Pelodiscus sinensis: one gene and its partner. The main gene of each other region encodes a partner of the protein of the gene in region 2 in a complex. Links are inferred from orthologs where the notes say so. Each region holds a gene or a part of one and is shown on either strand. Other genes may lie near its edges.

What was found.
Region 1: the proteins of BBS4 (region 2) and BBIP1 are in contact, whole or in part, in a cryo-EM structure (PDB 6VBV), measured with the Bos taurus proteins. The link is inferred for Pelodiscus sinensis from reciprocal best matches to the Homo sapiens genes BBS4 and BBIP1. Residues at the interface, in NP_001069424.1 of Bos taurus: Leu210, Leu213, Tyr236, Leu240, Ala241, Ser244, Gln247, Thr248, Ser269, Pro271, Asn274, Asn275, Met278, Phe281, Gly282, Lys284, Tyr298, Leu299, Pro301, Leu302, Asp303, Trp304, Lys305, Ile306, Tyr308, Asn309, Leu312, Leu315, Thr316, Gln318; in XP_003587939.1 of Bos taurus: Met7, Phe8, Arg9, Glu10, Val11, Leu12, Pro13, Lys14, Gln15, Gly16, Gln17, Leu18, Tyr19, Val20, Glu21, Asp22, Leu28, Lys30, Pro31.

Annotation. Positions count from the first base shown.
Region 1 is NC_134718.1:66,894,012-66,902,180, reverse strand, and holds BBIP1 (BBSome-interacting protein 1), read right to left. Parts: upstream 3,179-8,169; 5' UTR 3,066-3,178; coding exon 3,020-3,065; intron 961-3,019; coding exon 791-960; 3' UTR 608-790; downstream 1-607.
Region 2 is NC_134724.1:37,826,624-37,834,206, forward strand, and holds the start of BBS4 (BBSome complex member BBS4), read left to right. Parts: upstream 1-4,385; 5' UTR 4,386-4,816; intron 4,817-4,853; exon of another isoform or gene 4,854-5,238; intron 5,239-5,254; exon of another isoform or gene 5,255-5,404; intron 5,405-7,583.

The DNA of each region.
Region 1 (8,169 bases), on a different chromosome or scaffold from region 2:
CTTCTCCGTTAAAAGCATTTGCGGAAAATCATGCCAGTCTAGACGTAGCCTATCAGTTTTATCCTAGAACTGATATATGCCATTTTGTGGTAAGTTAAAGCAGCAGCCTGCTTTTCTAGCAAACCTTGTCCAGAGCCCCAGAACGATTTATATACCTGTTCAAGAGTAATGGAATGAGTAGCTGTATTGGTATTACCTATCCCAAATCTGTTAAAGAAACAAGGGTTATTACAAAAGCCCCAGCACTACTGATTAGAACAAAGACCTTGCCTGTTCAACAGGGACCACTGGAAATGGGGCAGGACAATCCAGGCAGGCAGATTGTGGGGGTTAGCCAGCAACAAGGGAACTGATTAGGGATTTTAACAAATACCCATTCCTCTTGTCAGAGTGTTTCCACCCACCCTAACATCTTGGTATGGCAGATGAGACCATCAGCAAAACATTAGAAGACCCCAGATCATTTTTTGTAAATGGCCTTTTAAAATGGGGATTTCCTTAGGAAGCGCTGGGGGGGGGGGGAGGAACCCACAATTACAGAGATTAAAAAAAAAGATAAGATGCAACTGCACAGAAAGGGGTAAGCATACTAACCAAAACACACATCTTCAGCAAAATCTATAGACATTTGTAATATGTAATATGTACAATAAAAGACACCAACTAAGAAAGCTTAGAAGGGACTTCTACCATTTCTGAACTCTTTTTTAGTAACTGTACAGCAAATCACTAGATTAAGATACAGTATTTAGGTAAAATATTTCTTAAAAGGGGTGAATCATTTTGCACTCTATTGCTGGCTTTGTTGCTGATGCTCCCTTTGTGCCATTTCTTGTTGGCGAACTGTTTCCTGTGCGTCTCGCTGCATTTTCTCTAGCTTTTCTAGGGTAACAGATTTTAAAGGCAACAATTTTGGCTTGCATAATACCATGGTAGCCACATCCTCTACTGACAGTTGCCCTGAAATGTAGAAAGAAAAAAAAAGAGTATGTAAATTTCATGTAATTGGCATCCATTTTACTACCAAGTACAAATACTTCTGAAATAAGAGCATCAAATGTCTTAGAAAGCCTAGATAATACTTAATTTTGAACAAGATAGTATTAGCTTTCAAAAAGAATATACTGTTCTTTTTGGGAAAAGGTTTGCAAAAACATGAGTCATTAACTTCAAAGAATTGGCCTGCTTTTCAGAAGCGGGCTCATAGTCTTTGAACCATAAGAAAAATTTTTTTTTTCAGGAAATGAAGAGTCACAAGGCCATGGTTTGGGACTCATATATATTCAGATCTATGCAAAAAAGACAGACTTTTTTTAGACTATCATTATTCCTTATATTTGTCTCCAAAAAAATCAAGTTAATGACTAGGATTCTCAGCTTTCCAACAGTAGCCAAGCATATTAGCAGATTACTTATATAACACCATGCCTTATTTTTTGGGGACAGCTTTCATTTCTTACATTTTTATCAGCACAGATGCTAGAACTCAGTGCTATAGGTTATCTGAAAGCAGCCCTGGAAGTAGTATTTTCTGTTAACTGTGCACTTTTGTGGCTGCTCAGGAGAAAATAAAATGCCACCCAGCTGATTAGTAGAATGCCCACAGCTAGATATTGTCTCTGTTGGGGGTGCACATGCCTGACTGCACAAATATATAGCACACATGGATGGAAAAACTCTGTACAGGATGGAAAAGATTAGAGGAAACACTATCTGCAATCCCAACTTTCAAACTTAATTTCTAGAACTAGTAATTTTAATGAGAAGTTGTCAAAACTGCTATATGCTTAAGATGTGGAGAAACTGGAGAACATCCAGAAGAGCAACAAGAAGGTCTAGAAAACATGATTTATGAGGGAAGACTGAAAGAATTGGATGAACTTAAAAAAACAACAAATGATCTGGTAGCACTTTATAGACTAACAAAACATGTAGATGGTATCATGAGCTTTCATGGGCATAGCCCATTTCTTCAGATGATGCGAGTTTTGAGTTTAGGTTGTGCAGACCCAAAATAAATAGGGGAGAAGATGGGGGGAAATGGAAGGGGGTGGGAAAAAGGAGCAGATGATATGAAAATTTCAAAGGTTTGTTTAGACTGGAAAAGAGGTAAGACTGAGAGGAACATGAGGCATTTTCAAGTACCTAAAAGTGTTACAAGTAGGAAAAAAACCTTGTCTTAATCTCTGATGATAGGATAAAAACCAATGGGCTTAAATTGCAGTAAAGGAGGTTTAGGTCAGACAGTAGGAAAACCTCCTAGCAGTCAGGGTGGTTAAGCACTGAAAAACTGTCTTAGGAGGGTGTAGCTGTCACTGGAGAGATTTAAGAGCAGATTAGACAGGATGGGCTAGATCAAGGCTGGGCAAGCAAGATGCTGCTTAACACTTTGATGTTGCCCCCATGGACCTTATCTGGTCACTTTCTCTTTATATTGTGCTGCCCATGCCATCAAGTTTCCAGAAGGTGACTCAGGTAGCAGGATCCTCGTTAAAAGGCTCCCAGCTGTGGTGCTACCCTGGCAGGGGAGCCCTTAAAATTGCTGCAGCAACCCTGGGCGGCTGCCCTGGGGCCAGGCGCTGTCAGCCCCTTTGCTAGGTTTTTAATTCAAAGCTCCAGATAAGGCTGGCGGGAGGCTACTCCCCAGTCGTGCCCCGGGGCCATGGCAAACGCCACGAAATGCCCCTCCCCCCCGAGAACCATTGCCAGCCCCTGAGCTAGCAGCGCGGGCCCCGGGACCTGACTGCTACTGAGCGGGGCAGCGCTGACGTCAGCGCGTGCAGCCCAGGCTCCGCGCGCCAAACGCCCCCAGCGCGAGAGGGCGGGGACCAGGCGCGCGGGACCTTCCTCGCGCTGGGAGCCGCCCCCCTCGCTGCGCGCCCGACTCCCCCTCCCCCAACCCGCCTGGGGCTGAGCGGGGTGCCCGGGCGGCAGCGCAGGCGGCGAGACCCCCCCCCCTCCCTCCCCCGCCCGCGGGCGGCCTGTGGGGGCGGCAGGGGCCCGAGCAGGGGGCGGTCACCTTGCTTGGGCAGCACCTCCCGGAGCGGGGACTTGCCCTCGGGCATAGCGGTGTCCGGGGCGCTGTCGGGTCAGGAGAAACCTGCCTGACTCCGTGCGCCTGCGCGGTCAGGCCGCTCCGCGGCCAATCACCGTTAGCTGACCCAGCAGCAGGGCGAGTAGACGCATGCGCAGTGCATACAATGCTTCAACGCAGGCGCAGTGTCCTTTCAATAACAATCGCTCCCACCATGCATTGCGCTGTCTTTTCCCGTGCGTCCCTGTCCTCACTGCGTGCGGAGAAGCGTGGTAGGGGACCCCACTGCATGCTGGGAATTGTAGTCCGCGGTTGGGGTAGCACACTGCATACTGGGGCTGGGAACTCTGGTGGCTTTACTACAGTGGGAAGGTTAGGGCTGCTGTATGCTAGGGGTGCAGTCCGTGGGGTCCTGGTGGAGGCAATGCCTTGGCACCCCACACCTCCATAATTCATAGTGCCTCAGTCTGCCCTGGTGTATTGCAAATTAAGCCTTGTCCTGGGCTGCTGGGGGGGTTGGGGGGGGCATCGACTTCCCAAACCCCTAGCCAGGCCCCACCCAGACTCTGCCCCTAGAACACCTAGGCTATGTCTACACTCGCGGCTTCTTACGCAAGAAGGAGCGTCTACACTGCCCCTTCTTGTGCAAGAAAAACCCTCTTGCGCAATGCCGTTCTTCCTGAAAAGTAATAGGTGTAACGGCATTGCACAAGAGGGTTTTTCTTGCGCAAGAAGGGGCAGTGTAGATGCTCCTCCTTGCACAAGAGCCTCTTCTGAAAAAAAATGGTGGCTCATTACGTATGCAAATGAGGCTCAGCAATATTCCACGCTTAGCATCATTTGCATATTACTCGCACAAGAAGCCGTGAGTGTAGACATAGCCCTACTGTACACATGGGGGCAGAGCCTGGGTAGGAGGGGTGGGGCTGGGCTGAGCAAGCCTAGCCCTACCTTCACCCACTGCCCATGGTTGCCGGCATGCGGCCCTCAGGCTGAACATGATTAGCGACCTGGTGCATGCTCTGGTCAGGGGCAGATGACCGTTTTGCAGGGCCCTGGGCAGCATAATTCCGCGGGGGCCCCCCTTTGCCACGGCGCATGCGCGGGGCTTTTTGAAGCGCGGGGCTCGGGGCGGCCGCCCCGTTCACCCTGCCCTATATCCGCCCCTGGCTCTGGTATCTGACTTGCCTTTGTTTTCAGTCTCTCTATCTTGGGGGCCAGCTACTCTAGACTCTGCTGTATGGGTTTTCTCCTTTCAGAACGACAAACAAGCCACCACCTCTGTCCTGGAGGCACAGGTGAAAGTAAACAGATGCACCCAGGTGTGTAGCTCTGGCAAGAGCTGGGTGAGCTGCAGCAAAAGCCAGCAGGAAGCTATTAAAAGGTACCCGGGTTGCAATAGGACAGGATCTATAAGCGGTTTTAATGTATTTTCAATGCTGCCTGGATGGCTTCTGCCCAAGAGCTCTCTCCCCTCAACCTGCTCCTGGGTCTGTTGTAGTTTGAGCTGGTTGAAGGCCCAGCACATAAGGGGACCCAGGCTCTGGCCATGCCCCTTCAGTGTGATGTGTGTGGTAGTTAAAGATCGATGCACAGCTGCGTGTGTTTGTATTTTACAGGGGATGTTGGTCCCAGGTAGGGATGTAAAGGTTAACTGGTTACCCAGTAAGCATCGCTGGTGCTGGGCAGCTTTTCACCGGGTAACTGGTTAACTGGCAGCCCAGCCAGGCTGAAGCAGACCTCTGCTGAATGCGGGAAGGAGGCTGTTCTAGCCTGGCCAGGACCACCGTGCTGCGGGCAGAGGCGCTCCAGCCTGCTTGGGCCCACTGGGATGTGCGGGGCCGGGCTGAAAGCAGCCCCCCACCCATGGCATGGTGGGACCCCAGCAAGCTGGAGCAGCTCTGCTGCCCACAGAGGCCTGGTCTGGAGACCTTGGTTAACCAATTAAAGTTATATCGTGTAATCAGTTAACATTTTTAAGGGGTATTTACATCCCTAGTCCCATGTGGAAACAAGCCCAGCGCATTATAGCTTTTCACCAGGAACCATCACAGCACTACAAAATCTGTCCTGATGGGTTAAAAACCAGCCAGATTTCCCATTTGACATGCGTGCAGGATGTTCTGGAAAAGGGCTGGAGGGAATAGCCCTTTGCCTTTAGCTCTAAGTCCAGCCTAGGTTGGAGGCTATAAGAAGTTATCACTTGACAGCTTGTTAAATGATATATTTGCAAAAGGATTTGCTGAACCTCTGTCTGATTTCACAGCACAGAAGCTGCCCAGCAGCCATATCCTGAATTGTGCCTTTGTTGTCAGCCTCAGAAAACTGAATGAGCCAGGGAACTTGAACCTGACAGGGGTAAATTAGAGCTAAATAACAGCACAGAACACTGAGAGCCAGGGCTGGTGACTGTAAACAAACTTTATGGGACTGTGGGAAACGTGGCCACACCCATGATAAGCAGACATCCAGCCAAATAAAATCATGTCAGACCATGGATAGTGCTGGATTAGAGAGGTTCAACCTGTATCAAGAGAATTGCCCATTAGTGGTTTCTCAGGATTTCAAATTCTGATTAGTGTGATCAAATCTGATGTCCTACAATTTGCAGTATGAGTGGTGCCACTGTTTAAAATGTAGTCAAAGGCTAGGGGCATTTTTAAATGCTAAAAGACAAATGCAGCAAAACCAGATTTGCCAGCATTCCCCGCATCACTCTCACATACATGCAGAACCTGTTTGTTAGACAATTCTTTACCATTAGTAGTAACTTTCAGTGAAGAGCTCTAGGAAGAACTGGAAGTCCCCAGCTTACGATCAGGTTATGTTCCAAAAGTTTGTTTGTAAGCCGGTTCTTTGGAACCCGGAACACATTTTCCCATAGAAACAATGTTATAAATGGTAGCTAGGTTCCCTGACTAGCCCACAAAACCCTATTAAACCCATAATATAGCTGAAATACTGTATATTTGCAATGAAAAATATCAGAAATATTTTTTTATTTAACCTTGAATGTTGGTGTGCTTGCAGAAAGGCAGGTTTCATTAAATAAGGATGAGAAGATAGGTGGAGATTCTAAAGGGGACTTCTGGCCATTCCCCAGCTGCCATTTCTCCTCCCCACTGCAGGCTCTGCAGTGCCTCCCTGGGGCTGCATCCAGCCTTCACTCAACAAGGGGACTTAGGAGGAGCAGGGGGCAGCCATGCAGCCAGCGGCTAGTGAGAAGTAGCGGTTTCCCCTTAACAATGCTGCTTCTCTCCATCCTGTGGCTGTATGACCACTTCCCTGCTCCTCCGGAGTACGACGGCCCGCACCCGTGCCGCTTGTTGCCACCTCTTGCCTGCTCCCCTGTGGCTGCAGGAGAGCAATTGTTTGTATGTGTGGATGTTTGTAAGTTGGATGTATGTAATTCAGGGCGTGCCTGTCATGCACTAACACACAAGTCAGTAAATGCTGCATCAGCTTCCTGGCTCTGAACGTATATGGTATCCAAATACTAATTCAATTCCAAGCTGAAATGTAATTTTAGGTTTTGCTAATGATATTGTTTGTGTGGCCTGTACAAGCTGCCCTTTACTGCAGCAATTTGAAGAAGGAAAAGCACACATGTAAGAACAGATAACATTTGTAAACCTGCTAACCGCACACTCTGCTGCTATGTCTAAACTGGCAAGTTTTTCCGCAAAAGCACCTGCTTTTGCGGAAAAACTTACCAGCTGTCTACACTGGCCACTTGAATTTGTGCAAGAGCACTGACTTTGTAATGTACAAAATCAGTGCTTCTTGCGCAAATACTTACATGCTCCCGCTCAGGGAAAAGCCCTCTTGCACAAGAATACTTGCGCAAGAGGGCCAGTGTAGACAGGCACCTTAATTTTTTGTGCAAGAAAGCCCGATGGCTAAAATGACCATTGGAGCTTTCTTGAGCAAAAGCGCGTCTGGATTGGCATGGATGCTTTTGCGCAAAAGCACTTTTTGTGCAAAAGCATCCGAGCCAATCTAGACGCTCTTTTGCGGAAATACTTTTAACAGACAAACTTTTCTGTTAAAAGTATTTCCGCAAAATCATGCCAGACTTGACGCAGCCAGCTAGTATTAGTGACCCCTCTAGATGAAGTGAGATACTGCAGATTCTGGTAATGTTCCCCAAATTGATATTAGCTGGGGGAAAAAAGCTCATTAAATTTATACCCAACGGTAAGAGGATCAATGATCAAAAGAGAATGAGGAAATAATTGTTTCCCTAATAAGTTTTCTTTCTGGTTTTGATTTCACTTGGGCATGTTTCCCTGTGCTCACTTGAATGCTAGGCAGCAGGCCCATTGGATGGTCTAAAGTAGGGGTGGGCAAAGGAGCCTCCGCAGGCCAGATCTGGCCCGCCAAGCAGGTGAATCCAGCCCATGAAGGCCCTGCTGATCCCCCTTCCCCCTCCCCCAGGCCTCATTTCACGAGGCATACTGGAGTGGTCGACAAAGGCGTCCCTTGTCGACCGCAGCACATCCAGACTGCCCCGCTGTGCCGCCAAACAGCTGATCGGTACAGCGCGGTGGCCATTTTGATGTAAATGAAATGGCGATTATTTAAATCGCCGCTTCATTTTCCTATGTCTAGTAAACTCATCTACATGGCTTTGTCGATGGACCATGTAGTCTAGACATATCCTGAAAATCTATCTGACACTAATTTGTTAAAATGGTAAATGGCCCAGTCAGAAATAAACCAGAATATCTTTTTAATCAGCATCCTTGTACTATTCCCCTTTATTTGGCACTGGTGGGGCCACATCTGGAGTATTGTATTCGATTCTGAGCCCCCCACTATAGAAAGGATGTGGACGCATTAGAGTGGGTCCAGCAGGGGGCAACCACAATGATTAGGGGGCTGGAGCACATGACCTACGAGGGGAGGCTGAGTGATATAAACATAAGAACATAAGCACGGCCGTACTGGGTCAGACCAAAGGTCCATCTAACCCAGTATCCTGTCTGCCGACAGTGGCCAGCACCAGGTGCCCCAGAGAGGGTGGACCGAAGACAATGATCAAGCGATTTGTCTCCTGCCATCCCTCTCCAGCCTCTGACAAACAGAGGCCAAGGACACCACTTTATCCCCTGGCTAATAGCCTTTTATGGACC
Region 2 (7,583 bases):
CAAAAGAGGACAACAGTATTTTTCAAAATTGTATATAGCGCATATGCATGGACAAAGAGCAAGCGTGGCACGTGTTTGCATAATGTTTAATTACAAAAAATATTTATTCTTTAAAAATCTTCAAGATTATGTCTATTTGCTGTGCATTTTCTTTGGGTTTGCTTTTTTTAGCCCGGGGATTGGGGTGGGGGAAGTGTGTGCTGGTGCAGTGACTCTTTTGAAGGCTTTTACGTGAGAAGTCAAGTTTCTCCTCTTCCTGCATCGTTGATTCCCTGGCCTCCATGGTTTGTGTCCATTGCTGGCAACGGAACTGTCCCCTCCTAAGGCAAACCGATTAACTTGGTGTGCGTTTCATTAGAGACGAATGCATGTTGCCATTCAGGATGCTTTGTCTTTTTCACCCAGAATGTTATCTGCCCAAATCAAACCTAGCTATTCCCATGCCACCAGGACCTGGGCTCTGAACCTGGCTAAGAATCAAACCTATAAGAAGTGTGTTAGGAATTTTTCGTTTGATGGAGGAAAAGGGGGGTACTCGCTGACCACTTCTCAAAGAGCATTGAAAGAGTTTAACTGTGGATCTCCTCCCCTTTCCCGTTTGGTATCAAATGGAACATTCCTTGCTGGTTTGAGTTTCACTTACGTTATTACAAATGGTGACGTTAAAAAGGAAGATGGTGGAATTGTCTGTTTGTTTTGGGCTCAGTTATTGGGCAAACTATCCTGGCAAATATTAAACACTCCATCTAGTGCAGTAGCAATTGAAATCATTGGGATATTTTTTCAATTAAAAGGGTTAAGAGTTCTAGCTACTGCGTCCATTTTTATTATTTCTGTAACAAGAGCTATGTTGAAGTACACAATTGGTGGTGGTTTTATTAAATTGACTTCTGTATAGGAATCCCTTCTGTGGTATTTTTCACCAGGCCATTGTCCTTAAAAGCTTGCTGACAACCTACCAAGTTCAGGGGGCAGGAATAAAGGGGGAGCTGAGGCAGTCTAGAGAGAGGTTCCCAATATGAAACACCAGTCTGTCATTTCCTTCAGCTCTCTTGCGCCTCTTGAAGATGCTGCTGAATTCAGACATCTACAGGTTAGCTTTGCGCTCCCACTCTTGCTGTGCGTCACCTTTCCCAACGGCTTGTTTGCCTCAAGCCCTCATGCAGGACTGCCGTGAAGCAGAATGAACGCATGCACCCCACTCACCAACTTGTGTCCTGTGCACATCTCTTTAGACAGCTGCTGTGGGGGGAATTAATGTGAGGGTGTGTCTGTCTGAAGAACTCTGTTCTAATAGCCTGGGCGCCCCACAACAGAGACATCACCAAAGAACATCAGGCCTCACTTCTCATTTAAAGAGTCCTATCATTGCAGCACTCTAGCTCTTGAAAATATATTCCCTTAAATGTAAATGTGAATCAAAATGCTTCCTAAAATGGCATCTCTGCCTGGAGCTAGCAGTGATGTGTGGGTGGGAGTCCCCTGAAGTGTTCCACAGTTAGCTGTTTAAATGTCCAGTGGTTCCCTCCCCTGAGAACTGAAACCCAATGTACATGCAATTTCAGCTCCTAACATGAAGGGACATATTGTGTTTTTAAATCGTGAGCTGTATAGACCTTATCAACTGATTAAAACTGCCATCTCCCATGTTGTGTTTAAGTTGTGCATGGGCCACCTGTCTCTGATTATTTACTTGCTGACTCTTTATCCCAGCTCTTGTACTCTAATTCTCCATACTTATTGAGAATTATCCTTTTCAGTAGTGCCAGCTGCAGAATCTCTTGCTGAGTGTGAGACTGTTTGATCATTCACGTAAGTTGGCAGGCCCTTCCCTTAAGGGCAAATATTTGTGGTTAGGAGGTATGGACTGGCTGTTTGATAGCAATATGCAAAATACTGAATGGGCCTCAGTAACTTGCTCTGGGGCTAACTCTGTGACAAGGCCCCACCAATAGAAGGCAAATCCGAACAGCTTGTCTTCAGAACCCTACAGTCCCTGTAGCTCACTGTGGCTCTGGTGATATAGGGATCAATGACTGCCTGGTGTTTAGCTCCTTTTAGTATGACCACAGTATTGAAGTTAAGAGTGAAGTAAATCCTCAGCCACAAAACACACACATGCTCTATCCTCAGCTTTTGGCTGACGGGGCCCTATTCAGCACTTGGGGGATGGTATGACAATCAGACTGGCGGGTTGATGGATCCATGACTCCTACCTTCCAATTTTCCATCCGGAGAGCACCTCGTACTGTGGAAATAATTGTTCTTAGGTAATTTCATTGTAACTGCTGGAATGTTGCCATGTTAAGGTTAGAGGGAGAGAAAGCATTCCTAATGCTAATAAACATTTATTTTGTTAATTTTATTAGTTATTTTTGTGTTTGTCATAAATTGCTAAGGTATGTTGATTGGTGGTTTGATTAGGAGGATCTGTTCATAGCTTGTCTGTCTAAAATAGTGACCATGACATCACAGGACGTATAGGTCTGGATTTTTCTTAGTGGCCACTTGGATTCTGATGTCAGTCTCATGGCCGAGTGGTCAGGATGATAGTTTCTTAATGTCCATATGTTATAAATGAGCTGCCAAGCCCTCCCGGTGAGAGAGGTGGTGACTGCTCGTAAAAGCCGTAGTACCAGTCTCTTCTTGAAATGTGTGCATAGGGAAAGAGGAATGTGTATGTCAGAGTGGGGTAGCTTCCTCCACTAACTACCCAGTCATTATAGAAATGAGCCTTTATAGGTTCCAGCAGTCCATGAGCAGAGGCAAAGCTTGGAGCTGATTAGCCCTTCTGATGACTGTCTGCAACCAGATGTCAAAAGGCATCCAAAGAGCCAAGGAATTTATGCTACAGATTTCAAGAATAATACTGTTTTGGCTCTCCATCCAAAGCTGCAGTTCTTGTATTTACACAAAAACGCCACGGTCTGGGTATCTTCCTCCCTTCTTATGGACTGATACTCTGATTCTTCAGTTGTAGCTACTTTACTTGGCATGGGGAAAGAATAGTACAATGACTTGTGAGTTTGAAAGAAGACATACAGTTAGATAAGGGAATGAGATTACAGGTGCTTAAAGTAATAACAGCTTTGGGGCAGGATCAAATAAAAAACCCTTTCATCCTAAATATTTTAAATGGGGGGAGGGGGGAGAACTGAATATTCAATGTCATCGCTTAGGAGTCTTAAGTTCTCATTGCCCTAGTTTGTTGAAAACAGTGTCAAGTTCCCTGTATGTGTTTGTGAAATACTGTTTATTTAAAAGTCCCACTTTCTGTAAACTCCAAAGTATGAGAGCAGTGAACTCACTTCTTCCATGCCATCACCTCTCCTCTCTCTCAGCAAATCGTAAGTATACTGAAGCTGTTTAAACATGCTTGCTGGGATCATTTAACTTTTAACACTGCCACAAGAGCCACCCTGACCCCACTCTCCACAGGATTTTGATTTTAATCACGTTTATTTTTATCTCTGTCCAAGTCTTGCTAGTAAAGGCACATTTGAAAAAGTGACAAGCACATTTTTAATGGTCTAGTTTAATACTTAATTTCAGCTACTCTTTCTTCCTAATTGAGCCTGGGTCCTCAAAGGGATTTAACTGAGCATGCTCAGCACTTAAGTACCTAACCGGCTCTGGCCCTTAGTGTCAACCTTTTTAAGGGCAAGCCCAGATCTAGCTCAAATATAAATAACCTTGCTCTGCTCCCCCTGCTCCTTTTCCTCAGGCTGGGGCAGAGGGTTGGGGTGTTGGATTAAGGAATGCCGAGTGCGAAGGGCTCGGGGCTGCTCTTGGGCCAGGGCGCGGGGCTGCCGAGGGGTTCCGGCAGGGTGTGGGGTGCAGGAGGTGGTCCGTGACTGGGGTAGGAGTGTGGGAGGCGGCTTCAGCTGGCTCGTGCTGACCGCGGGGTTCGTGGGGGTGGTGCAGTGGGGCCTCTGGCGCATTCCCATAAGCAACCGGCACGCTCCAGCCCAGTCCTGTTATATCTCCGCGCCCAGCCCAGCCAGCAGGAGGCTCCCAGGGGCAGAGACGAGCAGCGGGGGGAGGGGCTGTTGAAGTGACAGACTCTTACTCGTCTCCTTCCTCCCTTTCTCCCCTCCCCCCCCCGTGGGGCCAGACCCGGGGCGGGGGAGCCCACCCCCCGGGACGGGCCTGTGCCTCGGGCTAGCTGCGGGGAGGGGGCAGCCTCCGCGGACAACCGGAGTGGCGCTGCTACGAGCGGTTTGAAACCCAGCCCTCGAGCAGGCGGGGGGGGGGGGGCGGCTGCTGCCGTTGCCATGACAATGCCTCCGCGGCTCCGCCTCCCAAGGGGCGTGTCTGTGCGGCGGCTCCTAACGCCTGGACCAAGCGCGGCCGGCTCCGCCCTGGGCAGCTTGCATGGGGGGAGGGGGGCAGTATGAGCGGGTCGGGGTCTACTGTGACGTCACAGTCCCGCGCTTCCGCAGCCCCCTCCCTCTGCTGGCCGTCGCGCTCAGGGTACGTCACGCGCCCCGGGCTGGCCTGGGCCCATTGACGTCACCGAGTCCCTAGAGCCTGGGAGGTGGGGGGCTCCGCGTCGCTCCGCGCGCTCCTAGGCAGCCGGACCTAGTAGGGGACGTTGCTATGGCAACCAGCCGTCGGGCTTCGCGATTGGCTGGACACAGCCAGAAGGCCCCCGGCCGGCATCGCCCCTAGACGTCAGTGCGAGGCTCTTTCCGGCGGGCGCGGTGGTTGTCGGTCCTATGGCCCGCCCCTCTCTATGGGTCCGCTCAGCTGGTAACCAGGGAAACGGACAACTTCCGACGCCGAGCAGGCCTGTGGCGGAGCGCTGGCGGAGCCGGTGAGAGGGGGCGGGGCTGGGGATACCGCGCCAGACCCCGCCCGCGCGGCCTCGTTGCGAGTTCAGTATCTGGGGGGGGGGGCAGTGAGGGGCCCTCCCCAGGGGTGGGGGTCGCTCTGGTGGGCCCGGGCGGTGCCGCCTAGTGCTGCTGCCTGAGCCCTGCACGGGCGCTGGCGCCGCCCCCCGCCCCGAGATCCGTGCCCAGCCCCCCGGAAACGGCCCCGGCGGCAGCTGGGATCTCGGTGTCGCTCCACTCGGAGTTGGGTGCGAGGCTGGGGGCGCGGAACGCGAGCTCCTGGGCCTGGGGCGTGGCGGCGGGAGAACGCCGCCCGAAGACGCGCTCCGCACGTGGTGGGTCGGATCCCTGGCAGCGGGAAACACGGTTCAAGGGACTCGCGCGTGTTTCAGAGACGCTATTCAAGGTACAAGAGCAACTGTCCCACGGCCCAGGGGAGATGAGAAGGTTGAGAGGAGAGCGCCCTGGTTTAACTAGGAGAGCTGGGATGAGCTATACCTCTACAAGGACCCCACAAAAAGAGGAAACTAGCTTACCTTACAAAGAAGGAATCTAACCCCTCCCCCCCACAGGTATGTAGGGACAAAATTAGATAGGCCAAGGCTCAAAATGAGTTCAGATTAACTAGAGCATGGGTTCCCAAACTGGGTGTGTGTGCCCCCCTGGGGGGAGGCTTAAGAAATTCTGGGGGTGGGGGGTGCACAAGGTGACCCAGCCCACCTGTCAATGCCCCCATTGCCCCCCAAATTTCAATTTTTTTTTTGCTCAACAAGATTTGCTGCTATTTTGGGGGGGGGGGAGTGAGGGTTTCTCAAAAATCAAAAAGGGGGTGTGATGCCAAAAATTTTGGGAACCACTGAATTAGAGGAAGTCTATGCAGCAATGAGAAGACAGCAGCAATGACAGTGGCCAAAGCACTGGTTAGCACACTGTGCACAGTGCTGAAGGGCTGGCCAATGGGAGGCCGTGCCCCTTCTTGGAGCTGGCCCCCCCACACCTTGCCTAGGGACCCAACAATTCTGTAGCCCTCTTCTCATCCCCAGCTAGAGACATAAAGAATAACAAGAAAACATTCATTCTACAAATATGTTAGAAGCAAGAGGAAGACCAAAGACAGGGTAGTGAATCAATGAAAGGGGAAAATAGTAACCATAAATGTGCAAATGGCAGAGGTGCTTAATGACATCTTTGTTTCACTTTTCACCAAGAAAGTTGGTGGCTGTTGGATACCTAACGTAATGAATGCTGGTGAAAATGAGAAGGTTCAGAAGTTAAAATAGATTCAGATTAATAATTGTTTAGTCAAGTTAAATGTCTTCAGGTCACCAGGGCCTGCTGAAATGTACCCTAAAATTCTCAGTGAGCTGACTGAGAAGTTATCTGGGTCTATTAGTTTGCTTTATAACTGACTGCACTGCATTCTCAGGCTGGGCTCTGACAGTCAAACTGGTCTTATTCTGGTTCACACAGTTTCAAAGAGGCAAAATGTCATCCTTGGGTGTTTTAACAGGAGTGTTGTATGTACAATGCAGGAGGAAATTGTTCCAGCGGACATGGCATCGTTGAAGAGTATTGTGTCCAGTTTTGGACACTGGTCTTTAAGAATGCTGTGAGCGTCCAGGGGAGAGCTTACCTACATGATTAGAGGTTTAGAAAAATTGACCTATGAGGAAAGGTTGACAGAATTGAGCATATTTAGTCTACAAAAGAGAAGGCTGAGGAAGGACATAACAATCTTCAACTATGTAAAAGATTGTTTGCAGAAACCATGATCAGATGTTTTCCATATCCACTGAGGGTAGGACAAGAAGTAATCAGCTTAGTTTGCAACAAAGGAGATTAAGGTTCGGTATTAGGAGAAACTTTCTAGCTATAAGTGGAAATAAGGACTGGAACAGGTCATGTAGGGTGGTTGTAGATTCCTCGTCACTGGAGGTTTTCAAGAATGAGTTAGATAAACAGCTGTCAGGGATGGGTCTAGGATTACGTTATCCTGCCTCAGTTCAGAGGGCTGCACTAGATGGCTTCTTGAGATCCTTTCCAGCCCTAAATTTCTGTGATGATAAGTCACTTAATAATTCTGATAATGATGAGTGATATAGAACAGAATCCAGTTTGCTCACTCAGGGCGGTCAGGCTAATACAAATAAAATGCAGTCACTAGAATGAGCAGGTTCTGAATACCCCCAAGGGATATTGGTGGAGAAAGATACTGGTCGCTAGAGTAGTACTTTGCTGTAACAGTGGGTTTGTAAGGAGAGCATCTGACCCCTGCTTCCTTTCAGAAATAGAGTGAACCACTGGTGTCAAATGTTATGAACATTTTGGTACCCCCAGCTGCGGAGTTTGGCAAGTAACAGCTCTCAGTGAATTCATCCCAAGATCAATTTGTTTTCAGATGAAAATCAATTTAATTTTGACAGACAAATTGTTTAATTGCTGCATTTCAGCTTGGCATGGCACATCTGGTAAAAGGATTATGCCCTGAAAGCCTGTGTGTGACCTACTTTTATTTAAATCACTTGAGCATGGTGTTAAGAATTTTTCAGTTTGGCATTAGGCTGAAACTATTGACAGTTTGATCTGTGAAAAGTATAATGTAAAATCTTATCACAAAGCAGCATCCTTCTTCAAAGTTTAAATATTGCTTCACTCCTTGTGCTAGATCTGTGGTCCCAGATGTGTGTACTGGGTTAAAAACAACACTGCAGTTTTTGTGGACAGTAATACAAGTTGCACCTCCCCAAAACA